Bombyx mori: one gene and its partner. The protein of the gene in region 2 purifies or fractionates together with the protein of the main gene of each other region. This does not show direct contact. Links are inferred from orthologs where the notes say so. Each region holds a gene or a part of one and is shown on either strand. Other genes may lie near its edges.

Region 1 (6,527 bases), on a different chromosome or scaffold from region 2:
CGAATCCCGCAGGTACCAATTTTTTTCGCTCGATATGAATGCACCGGACGTGTTATCATTTAGGCCACGACAACTTATGTCAACAGTGTTTCCAGGGATGTTATCTACCATGTACCATCTGAATTTGGAATGAAGTCCCCTCCACTGTTTCCCAAAACATTCTGTCATGTCCTTCTTCAAACGAGGTTTGTAGAGGGTCCTAAACGATAGGCAGCGGCTTGGCTCTGCCCCTGGCATTGCTGAAGTCCATGGGCGACGGTAACCAGTCACCATCAATTGGGCTGTATACTCGTCTGCTTACAAAAGCAATAAGATAAATAGTGATTGCAGAGCTGGTACGTGTGAGAAATGCAAATGATTGTTATATAATTTAATATATATACATACGTACCTCTAATAGCAATGAGTTTCCCTTGAAAGCTTTAGCCAAAGCTCTTGCTCCTCTGCTCTTCAGGAGGCAATCACCAAAGTTAATACTTTTAAGATTCTTTAATCTGTAACAAACAACTTTTAATGCTGTAATGGAATAAGAAAATGGTCTGTAGCGGTGACTCTGGGTGCATAGAAAAACCAATCTTACATATAAGTTTTAAAATAACATTCGGACTGTCTATTTACAGAGCTTGATGATCTGAAGTGGACCGTTAATAAACATGACAATTCCAAACTTAAATTCAACTCAACAGTTTGTAGAAAATTGCATTTTTATAGTATTGGAACGTCAATGGTTAAACAGACTTATTGTGTAATTGACATGTTACCGAACACATAGGCTTAAGTTTGTAATCTATACTATTATAATAATATTATAAAGAGGAAAGATTTGTTTGTTTGTTTGTTTGTTTATTTGTTTGTATTGAATAGGCTCCGAAACTACTGAACCGATTTCAAAAATTCTTTCACTGTTTGGAAGCTACACTATTACCGAGTGACATAGGCTATAATCTTTTTGAAAAAAAAATAGGAATCCTTACTAAAACTCCAATAATGTAACCCAAGGTGTAAAAAAATTACCTAAAATATTCTTTACATCGCGTGCCCTGCGAAAACCATTGATGATAGAATAAAATAATGTCCTACGACTTTGTAGAACACATTATTATTCACAAAAAGTGTCCCAACAGCATATGTCTAACTATTATAGTTAAGCCGCAATGTGGCGGGTAGCCATCATACAACGCAAGATAATTGACAGATGCCTGAATCTCGCTTACGACATTTTCAAGATAAAGCGCATATATACAAGTTATAGTTATAGTTATAGTTGTGGTTTTCACTATAAATACGATTGTGCCGTAATTTTAACAGTAGTATACATACAGACCATCTGGAATACTACAGCAATAAGTGTTCTTTTATTTAAAAAAATAAAACAATGTCAAATATTTGTTAAATATTGTTGACATTTTTGTTAAAGACCTGAGCGGAGCCGGAGCGGGCCGCTAGTTCGCTAAATAAAATAATAAGACAATAATGACATAGAAGTTGATAATTCACTCAGTGCTTACTTTACCTTGGCAGGGCACCGGCAATGGCTTCAGCACCTTTAGCCCCGATAGTATTGTCATTTAAATTAAGATGGTTCAGTGCCGGGTTGTGTTTGAATGCTTCCGATAGAGCCGTTATACCGACATGGTATATACCGTTCTGTGGCATAGCTATCTCTTCTAAGGAACCCATTTCCTGTGAACAAGTGTACAATATTTTATTTATATTGCATAAACAAATGAACACCTGAGAGATGCCCAGATCTAATCAGGTATATTTTTATCACCTTTGTAAGGAAATTATCAACCGCTTTAGCAAATCAGCTGCTTTTTGTTATGTATTTGTCTGGTACTGACCCATTGAAAAGAAAACTAATCTATCTATTTATATAAAAATGAATTGCTATTTGTTAGTCTCGCTAAAACTCGAGAACGGCTGGACCGATTTGGCTAATTTTGGTCTTGAATTATTTGTGCAAGTCCAGAGAAGGTTTAAAAGGTAGATAAATATGAAAATGCTCGGAATGAAATAAAAATTACAATTTTGTTTTTACTTTGATGTGTCACTCGTCGGATAGATTTCTTTTGTTTGTTTTAAGTTTATTTTATAGAAAAGTTTAGGTATTTTATTTATCGATTGAGGCACTACGAAGTCTGCCGGGTCAGCTAGTAAGTTATAATATTTTTCATTTCAATCAATGTTTCTATGGCTGACGTTTTTTTTCTCAGGTTCATATTCTTTATTCAGTAATGGAAATACTTTAGACTTGGAGCCTGGGGTCGAGATAGCTTGATAGAAATGAACACACCTGAAAAACTTTGGCCAGCGCGGTGGCACCGTCATTCTCCAAACGATTCCTCCCGGCTATGAAGACCCGTAGTCTCCGCTTCCTACTGGAGAGTGCGCGTGCCAACAACTTACCACCGGTTATGCCAAGGCCGTTGTTGTTCAGACGAAGCTCCTGGAAACGTATTTTGTAAGCTTTATAAAGTGATTTTAATAAATACATCTGATCAGTGCTAGAAATTATAGCAGTGGGAATGAAACAAAAAAAGGGAATTTTATTATAAAGATTTTTGAGAACAATTTGATGATAAGACAAAAAATTGATTTACGTAGAGAAAGATGCAATTTTTTTATCATATTACATAGATATACATGTCTTGAGTATGGCATCAGTCAGTCTACACAAACAATAACCACTTAATGCCAGGCATGCCGAATATGTACATCCACCTATCCAGTGATAAAGATTTGATTCTTTGTGTCCCTACATAATCGCCAGAAGCCTTAAATGCGTAATAAAGTTTCACTGTGATCGGGCAAGCTAATGGAGCTCAGCTTGAGAGACTTTGCTAACATTTGCTCTAACAAGAGCATTGCTTTGTTGACTCTATCAGCAGCTCAGGATTTTAATCCACTAAGATCCGGCAAGAAACTCAATGGGTTATATGTCTGGCATTAATTGTAGATTCATTCTTCTTCTTCCCAATGAAGTTTTAATTTGGTCGGCCCATGGCATTGGTGACCTCCCACACGGTCCTGTACCATATGACTGTAAATTCATTATCAAGAGCTATTAAACAAATTACCTCTAGGTCAGAGCAGACATCACTTTGCAGCAGCTTAGCAAGACCTTCAACTCCTATTGGGCCGAATGCATTATCACTCAGGTCCAGCACAGCTAAACGAGCTCCAGCTGCTATCATGCCATCACCTAAAGCACTCTGTAAATGAAATAATCTTAATAATAAGTGATACCCCCTAGATATTGTCACCAGCCTAAATGTGGTAAATGAATACCTATCTTCAGGATTCGCTCTATACAAATGTCCTTTAGACTACAAAAACTTTAATTTGAAATTAAATTTCTTGACATTTAATAAATTCAATTGTTTCTAGTCAGCTGCTCGGCTGTGCATGTGACATTACTCATATTCATTATCAAAGATAGCCCTTATCATTAGCTAAGCTGTATAAGCGTCTGACTACAAAAGCAATAAAAAGTCCTCTTCATTTTAGATTTTGGGAAAAAGCCTTACCAAAGCTGGCGGGATCTCAGTTTTCATTCTCCCAGTAAACATGTCCGAGAATCTGGCTATCTTGAGTTCAGGGTGTGATTCTAAGGCCTTGGAGATCGCATGGGCGGCCGTCACACCCAGTGTATTGCCGGTCAACGCAAGATATTGGAGGTTCGGGCATTTATTGATCGCGTCTACAATTTGTTGTGCTGAAACAATTTAAGCTTGATGTAGGTAACACATTCATTCATTCAGTATCAAATTTGGTACTATGGCTATGATTTCAAGTCCAAATCTGATTAATATAGAAAATATACTTTATTTCCAAGCAAATTGAACAAACACGAGATCGCGTCAAATTTTGTTTTGTTTATTTTTATTTCACTTTTTTAGGTTATGTTGTAGACGATTTTTTTACATGCGCGTCTAGTGAATTTCAAATAAACAACTAGTATGTTTTATGTAATATTTGATTAGCTATGCGTGTTAAGAATTACACGGCCTTCGCTCTAGTTAATAGACCCACCATCTTTCGCGGTATCCAATTTTAGAGATTTTCCAGAAAAATCGACACCGGTTTCCGGCTGTGCGGGCTCATCAAGCACTGTGTTTAATGAATTTAAATCGAAAGTGGCCATTTTACAGTTTATGTAATAAATATAATAAATAGAAAATAAATATAACGCAAAAACGCAATTATGTACTCCAACGGATTTTTTTTCAATTATTTTGATATTGTCTGTGGTTTCCGAACATGTCAATTTCATTTGACAAAGACATAGACATTGACATTTTAATGAAACAGTGATGAGCTCGATGAACTAACCATCACTTCGTTCATTCGAATAATTCGACTTATTCGATTGATCGCTTGGTTGTTTGATTTGATCGAATATTTAATATAAATATAATTTTTATTAAATTATGTAGGTATTTAAACTTTTGCAACTAAGTTGACAGGCCTAAGCCTGTTAAGTATGAAAGGAAATCAGACCGCTATTTATATTTTACAGAATTAATATTACTTAACTCATCTTGTCGGCAATTTTCATTATTAATTCATTAAAATATAAAGAGTTAAATATATAAAAGGATGATAATTATCTTTATATCCAAAATATATATATATCTCTTTTCTTCTTGGTATAGTAACCGGCAAACATCGTGAGCAAATGACCTTGACTGCGCAGAACCGAATTTTAGATCACTTTGGTGGTGAGGGTGAGGCGCGACGGCAGGGGAAATCGTATCGAGCGCGTTATTGGTAGATCAGTCGAACCTTGCGTCCCGCACCGCGCCTTCGTTCCGCTTGCTCCCAAAAGTACGCTTGCGTACAGTGAAAAGTATATCGTTATTAATCGTTAAGTTATATTTTGTTATAATTGCTTGTTGACTTTGTTGCCATTGCTATTTGTTGAGTGTTTGTTGATTTTTTATAAAAAATACACTATGCCGCGACAAACTGGTGTAGTATTCAAAAGAAAGGGTAGAAAAATTGTGTACGACGTATATTGCTTCATTATAAAACAGGGGAAGAATGATATTATGGAAAAAGTAAAACAGACTTCGGAAGCAACAAAAACATCAGTGAGTACTGTTAGGTGCATTATTAACGAAGCTAAAGGCTCTGGCTTGCTCATCGTGCTTGGGACTCCGGGTAAGAAAAGATCAGGGAAGAAGAAAGTTACCGGAATGGATAGTTTCGTTCAATCTGTAATAAAAAGATGTAATCATAATAACTACATAACAAGCAGCGAAACTCCGTACCGTAGAAAGGCTTCGAAAATTTTAAAGAAGATATACATTTTAATGGCTCGGTATGAAGTTTACGACGAATTATGAAAGAGCTAGGCTTCAGATGGAAAAAAAAAACAGAAAATAATCGGAAGCTGGTAACTGAAAAAAGTAACATTCGATTACTACGAATCGAATATCTTCAAAAAATAATTAATTATAGACAAAAAAGAAGATCGAACCGACCGAGTCGTAAACTACACCGATGAGCCCTATGTCGACTTATCACGATGATGGCGACTCGGGTGATGAAAACAGTGATGATGATAATGGTCAAGATTATGATAACGAAAAAAAAATTACAAATACCAGCTTCGCTTCAACTGAACGAAGACCTGGCAACAGCTCTAGTTTTGACTTAATAGAAGGAATATCTATTTTACCCCAAGATTAAATTATTACAATTATTAACCTATATTTTTTGTTAATGTTCTAATAAATATATAAATAAATACATATGTTGATTTTAATAATTTAATTGCATTATGACGCAGAGTAAATAATGTTTTTGCACGTGAGTGTACCATGCGCAAACTTACCCCCACTACGTCAACAAATGCTCAAGAAGTTTGCCGGCTATTATAAGTACATAATTTTGCTCATGATTAATGCAGAGCATGGGGTAGAAACAACCGTGCCAGAACGCAGTGGGTCACACTTTGACATTCCATGAGGACGGAACGTCATTCCTTCATTCCTCTGTTGAGGGTCGCCCTTTATTACTTGATTTTTGTGTGGTCCAAAGTATGAACTTGTCAAGATCGTTATGGCGGGAACGGAATTACAGCGCCTACTAAGAGAGGCGATACTTGAAGTGGTGTCGGGAGGGGGGCTACGTCACCGCAACTCATAGCCGTCAAGTCAGTCAGTGTCAGACCATAAAAACTCGTGGTTGAATACTGTGACGTGAATTGATACAAAACCTAATCTCATTAAATACTCGATTAACATAAACTGAACCATAATCAATCTCTAGTGTTATTGGCGACGTGACTTTTCGGCTATCAACTATGGCTGGTATGTAACTGAACACTATTAATAAAAAAATTAAAATTAAAAAAAAACTAAAAAAATATTAAAATCGTATTTTAGTGTGGGATAAGTGGTTTATTTCATCTCAGTTTCGTTATCGCTAGAGTCTGCATATTATCTTATCAATGAAATGTGTCTTAAAAGTACGCTTTGACGTAAAATGCATGTTTATTCAAACAATTCTAGTGTATT
Region 2 (6,425 bases):
CGCTGCACCGACAAAACACTCACTACCACAAATTATACTCACAATATGATTAGAAACCGCTGTCAACTATTCCGAAACAATTAATTACTGAAGAGCGAAACGCACGGAAAACGACATAACGCGCGACGCGGTTCCCCACTCCTCGACTCGAACGAGACTGGTACAATACGAGCCACGAATTACGAATTGAAATAGGGAACAAAATAATAACAAATATGCATGGGCTGTTCGATATAATAGGTGCACGTGGGTTGTGTCATTCCCAAAAAATCAGCAACATTTGGAAAAATACAATATAAGCTTAAACGTTTCAGACACTGCGACGAAATTTCTCAGAATAAAGTCAGTTGCGAGGCATCAAGCAAATACAAAATTTAATGTAATACGAACTACACAGTTGCACACTCCCGTAACGATATGGATTCATTAAATAGTTTCATTTTATAAGTATTAGCACTACCAACCAAACTATATTTGTAAACAAAACATATCCCGTAATACATACAGAAAACAATTTTTAAACAGTGAACGCGATCGCGTTGATCAAGCGCGACAAATAGGACAAAACATGGCAGACTTGAAAAGCACTTCTGTTGTCTGTGGTCAATTTCTTTTTAAAAGCGACTTTATACGTTTCGTTTCTTTTATCGAATAGACTTAAAACCATTATTTGCGGTATTTAGGTTTTTAGTAAAATGTTTCATTTTCATTTCTAAGATTATGATTTTTTAAGCATGTTCAATAAAATAAACACAAAAAGATTTAATCATTAAACATTATAATTTTTTCCAAAAAAATGCCATAGACAAAATAATGCTACCAATTAATAAATATTGCCGAGATCCTCCCAATTTTTTTATAATGGAAATATGTTTTTAATCTTTAACCAAATAATCCTCCCTCCTCCTCCCTTTTTTTTATTGCCCTTATAGGCAGACGAGCATACGGCCCACCTGATGGTGAGTGGTTACCGTCGCCCATGGATTTTACCAATGCCAGAAGCAGAGCCAAGCCGCTGCCTACCGCTTAATACTCTCCACAACTTCTGATTGAACTGAAAAATTCACTAGTCTTCTAATCTTGCAATGTGATAGCACTCTTGCAATAAATTTAATTAATAATTTTTAATATAATTCATGTTTGGTATAGGTCTACCAGGATCTGATGGCAAAAAGGGAACAAATCAACGATCAAGGATAATTTTTGAAGATCTTACTGTGGCGAATGTGGGGTTCGAAATTTAGATGAAAACTCCAATTACTCTTCATGAATTTATAAATTAATTATAGGCTATCAGAACTAGTGGTCGTCGTGGCCTAACGGATAAGACGTCCGGTGCATTCGTGTTGAAGCGATGCACCGGTGTTCGAATCCCGCAGGCGGGTACCAATTTTTCAAATGAAATACGTACTCAACAAATGTTCACGATTGACTTCCACGGTGAAGGAATAACATCGTGTAATAAAAATCAAACCCGCAAAATTATAATTTGCGTAATTACTGGTGGTAGGACCTCTTGTGAGTCCGCGCGGGTAGGTACCACCACCCCGCCTATTTTCCGCCGTGAAGCAGTAATGCGTTTCGGTTCGAAGGGTGGGGTAGCCGTTGTAACTATACTGAGACCTTAGAACTTATATCTCGAGGTGGGTGGCGCATTTACGTTGTAGATGTCTATGGGCTCCAGTAACCACTTAACACCAGGTGGGCTGTGAGCTCGTCCACCCATCTAAGCAATAAAAAAAAAATAAAAAAAAAAAAAACTTAAAAATGGTTCCAAATACTGCACATCCATAAAAAAGTCTTTATCAGAAGAGGAAGATAAGGAAGGCGCAGTATTTTTACCACCTTTCCTCTTTTTGCCCTGCGTACTAAATACATCTCTGTTAGATCTGCCTTCAGCAACAATTCGTCTTATGGTAGTATTTATTTATTTATTTATTTATGTGCGTTCCCCTGACGAGTCATTGTCAGGGACATTTTTTATGCTTATTTGCTTTTTTGATAAATTTTATTTTTCACCATTTGTAATGTTAGGTTCGTATTTCGTTCTTTTATAATTTTCGTTTCTCTGCTTATTACTATAACCTGGAAAAACCAAAATCCGGTCGTCCAAGATTTTCGAGAACACTCGAAAACGTAGACAGTGTTGCCCAGTCTATTCGGGACGATCTGAACCTTTCAATTGAGAAGCGTGCGGTGGCCTTAAACGTGCACAGATCGTCGTGATGCCCTATTTTGCATAAAGATTTAAAACTGCACCCGTACAAATTCAGTTGGTGCAAGAATTAAAACTTCAGGATACTGGTCAGAGGTCAATTTTTTCCTGGCAAATTGATCTCCAGGAGAGGTGACATAAGTTGGCCTCCACGCAGTCCCGATTTGACATCTATGGACTTTTTCCTGTGGGGTTATATCAAATCCAAAGTTTACACCAACAAATCGACTTTCACACACAATTAAAAGAAAATATCTATCACGAAAGCCATCACGGAGAACACCTGCCGAGCCGTCATAGGCAATTTTAGTGCTCGATTAAACGAATGCCCTGAACGCAACGGTTTACATTTCGACGATGTCATTTTTAAAAAATAAATTCCAAAACAGTGTATTTTAATATGTAATAAACATTTTTTCAATAAACTCCTTACTTTTTTTAAAATTATATTTTTAAATATGACATTTCCTTTGAGACCCTTCCTTCGTTTTTTTTATTATTCATAAACTATTTTCAATAATTAAAACAGCGAAACATAAAAATCTTTTACTTGACGCTGGCTAATGCACAAACCGTACGGAGCCAAAAATAAAGACGAAGTGTAATCCATAGGTTATACAGGTGTATAATCTACAAATGTCGCCATCCATTTTGTTTCACATTGAAAAAGAACAGGTTTAAGATTCACAAGAGAGACGCTATTTAGTTTTTGGTGATTAATTTTGGAAATATTTGGATTGCTAATAACGTCCAAATATATAATTTAACTAACCATACTTAAAATTTATTGAGTGTAGGGTAATTTTACACCATCAAAGTTGTTTAACTCTTTTGTAATTTGCGTTGTTAATTAAAAAAAGCTATTATTCAATTATCATTGGCTTTATCTCAGTTAACTATTCTACACGCATGTGAGAAAATAAGGAAACCTTAAAGAACTACTTTCACGGTATTTGTATACTGGTGATTAAAGCTTCTTCGACACGATGCCAAAACGTGGCGGTGGAAGGAATAGAAATTGGAAGGCTGATACTGACCATTTTGGTAAGTGGAACACTTTTATTTATATTCTGTTGTGATTTTGTAGTTCCTACAGTGAATTATCAAAAAATAATGTATTCCATTGTTGTTAGCGCTACTTATGTTTAATACATAAAGGCAAAATCATGCATCATAAAGTTCATGATACCAATGAATAATATATGAGTTTTTAAAGTTATTGACTATTAATACTTGATTTACAAATGATATACTTTCAGAACACGATGACCGTGTCAATAGTGTGCCGAGACATGTCAGTTTTAAACCTGGAGCTAAAGGAAAAAATAAATTTCGAACTTGGAAAAATCCTTTAGCCCTCCTTGATGATGATATTGACATGGGTAGTTCTGCTCTTCAAGGACCGGTCCGGAAAAGTTCTTTCAGGGGACGTGGGAGAATGTACTCTCCAGCTCCGCAAGGAAGCCACGGACACACTAAAAAGAAATTTATTCCTGGTGTACTGCCTTGGTACCAAATAATCATTCCATATGGAGCAAAACATGAAAAAGATGTTATCCTCCGAGCCTTGTTGGGTTTTCTTTCACCCGACATATTCATTCCACATTACTATAAAGTCAATGGAAATGCTGCAGTATTCTATGTTGATGATGTCAAAACAGCTGAAAAACTTTATAATGCTGATAGAAAGATCACTATGTCAGATGGTTTTAAGTTAATTGTTATTGTGAGGAATGCTGTTCCAAACATGGCCATTGACGCTGCCATGAAAGAGAAGATGAAATTGACAATGGCGAAGAGGTATAATGCTACAACTAAGGCATTAGATTTAACAAAATTCCATGCTGATCCAGGTGATTGTCCAATTATATTGTTATTGCTTTACATATTCATTATTTACAATACATTCATTGCAATGTCTAAAATTCAACTTGTTAGTAAACAGCTTAGTAATACATATTATAATTTCTTTTTCATTCAATTAGAGATATAATAAGCTAGACTTTTGGGAATAATTTCTTATGGGCCCACATAAGCTATAATCTATTTAAGAGCGCATACTGGTTTGCCCTTTTATAATGCAGCAATGTAACAACAATATTTATAACCAGTTATTTTATAGAATGTAAAGACAATAGTTTTACTGGGTGAATATTGAAATAATACTATTTTTCAGATCTAGAAGATATATTTTGTGCACTGTTCCGTCCAATGATAATGTTGGCTGCTATAGATATAATAGCAGAGAATATTCCAGACATAGAAGCTTTGAACCTAAATGATAATAAGCTTCATGGTTTGCAGCATCTCAAGGTTTTGTCTTCAAAGCTCAAGAATTTGAAAATATTGTATATGGGCGATAATAGGGTAAGACAAATACATTTACGACAATTTAGACCAGTGTAAAATTTCAAATGACTGATTCATATTCATATCATCATCTTCAGTGCACATTCCTATCTAGGCATAGTTTGAATAGCCCCACAAGCTAACAGTAATTAGGTAGGATACAAAATCCCTATCTACATTTGACAAATAAATTTGTGGTTTTTTTTTTCTTTATTATATACCCCAACTAACAATCTTTGCAATTAATTTGTTTTCACATGCACTATATCTGATTGTTAAGGTAGACATTTTTCTCAATTTTGTGTAGTGTAAGTATTTTTCTACTAACTCATCATTTGCATTACATTAGTAAAATATAAAATAAATGTAGTAAACGAAAGACATCTTTAAAAATATATGAATGCTATTAAAAAACCAATAATGTACATTAATTATCATTTAAACCTTTTCCAGATTCCATTCCTTGGATCACTGGACCCAATCAGATCATTACCGCTAGTTGAGCTATACCTCAAAGGAAACCCACTGGTGAACAGGTTTCATGATCACGAAATCTACATAAGGTAACGCTAATGTTGTAGACAGTATCTTTGGGGTCACACCCCAAGATATTTTGAATATCCTATAACACAGTTTACCATTAGCGTTAAGCCATGGAAACTTGACAGCTATATAAAATCAAACTGTGGCAGTACTGTTGCTGAATTGTGCTTGTTTAAGTAGATGAAATGAGTAAAGATGTTTTTTATCATAAGTTAAATTTGTGATAACATATATTATATTCCTATACTGTTTATAACAAAATCAGTAAAATATCCCTTAATAAAATATACTTATAGTTGACTAATCTTTTTAAAAGACATAATTTTACATAGCAAAAAATTGGCAGGATAATTCCATAAAATTTCTTGGGAAATGTCCCAACAGACAATGAGCCTTCTTATTTCCATATTCCCCTGACTCACATATTTATCAGAGTATTAAAATAATTGATACAAAATAGTAACATTTAAAAATATTTACCTAGGAATAGGTCACTCACAGCATTATATGTAAAAATGGCCCAACTGTTTAGTAATCTTGGAAGAGTTTTAGTGCAGTGGTATGAGACATAATATCAAATATGTGGAATAATTTAAAATCAGACTCATCCCCATTGTACATTGCTGTTATGAAATTATATTAAAATTATTAGTACTTGGGCTTCACTAAGGAAATTGGGTATTCTATTGCTCATTATTGTTACTTTACTATTTTAATTTTATTTGAGGTTACCCTGCATCCTGTGTACTATCACTCCGTATAACCTTTTTGTCAAAATAATTCTCAATATTAGAGGCATAAATAACATCTGATATCCATCATTACTAACTTGAGCATCGCAAATAGATGGAAAGGTTTTTTTAAATAATTCATCTAAAAATAGTTCCAAAGAATCATTTTTGACAGAAATATATTATTATATTAATATGTATATATTTTTTAAATAGTATATATTACCTCTTTACCTCCAATATTGAGGTTTAAATTTGAATTATATAATTTTAAGCAATAATTCAAATAAAAATAATTATCTATTTAGTTTTTATTAAATAATGCACACAAACACAACATTGAAGCACATTTGTTTACAACACTTTATAAAAGTAAAAGTATGTAAACAGTGTTTAAATAATACTTGCTACAAAAACTGTTTACTACTATTTAGAGTTTATCTGTGTGACATGTATTTTCATTAAATAAAAATCAAAGAGTAAAAAAACTAAGCAATTATTTTTCCCTAATTATACATTTGATATTTTTGAACAAGTTTTTCACTTAATGTTATGATGTCTCACAATAGAAATTTCAATATCTAAAT

The links. Proteins that work in one complex are often made in the same cells at the same time.
Region 1: the proteins of nuclear RNA export factor 1 (region 2) and ran GTPase-activating protein 1 purify together in Homo sapiens (co-immunoprecipitation; 3 studies listed by BioGRID and IntAct, with this or other methods). This does not show direct contact. The link is inferred for Bombyx mori from reciprocal best matches to the Homo sapiens genes NXF1 and RANGAP1.

What each region holds. Positions count from the first base shown.
Region 1 is NC_085117.1:345,328-351,854, forward strand, and holds the start of ran GTPase-activating protein 1, read right to left. Parts: upstream 4,289-6,527; 5' UTR 4,277-4,288; coding exon 4,036-4,276; intron 3,719-4,035; coding exon 3,531-3,718; intron 3,216-3,530; coding exon 3,081-3,215; intron 2,450-3,080; coding exon 2,297-2,449; intron 1,684-2,296; coding exon 1,514-1,683; intron 495-1,513; coding exon 392-494; intron 1-391. Other genes in the region: cytoplasmic aconitate hydratase, read left to right, coding at 6,466-6,478. UniProt on the Homo sapiens protein: GTPase activator for RAN. Converts cytoplasmic GTP-bound RAN to GDP-bound RAN, which is essential for RAN-mediated nuclear import and export. Mediates dissociation of cargo from nuclear export complexes containing XPO1, RAN and RANBP2 after nuclear export.
Region 2 is NC_085124.1:4,528,356-4,534,780, forward strand, and holds the start of nuclear RNA export factor 1, read left to right. Parts: upstream 1-2,816; 5' UTR 2,817-3,201; coding exon 3,202-3,259; intron 3,260-3,474; coding exon 3,475-4,068; intron 4,069-4,391; coding exon 4,392-4,582; intron 4,583-5,017; coding exon 5,018-5,127; intron 5,128-6,425.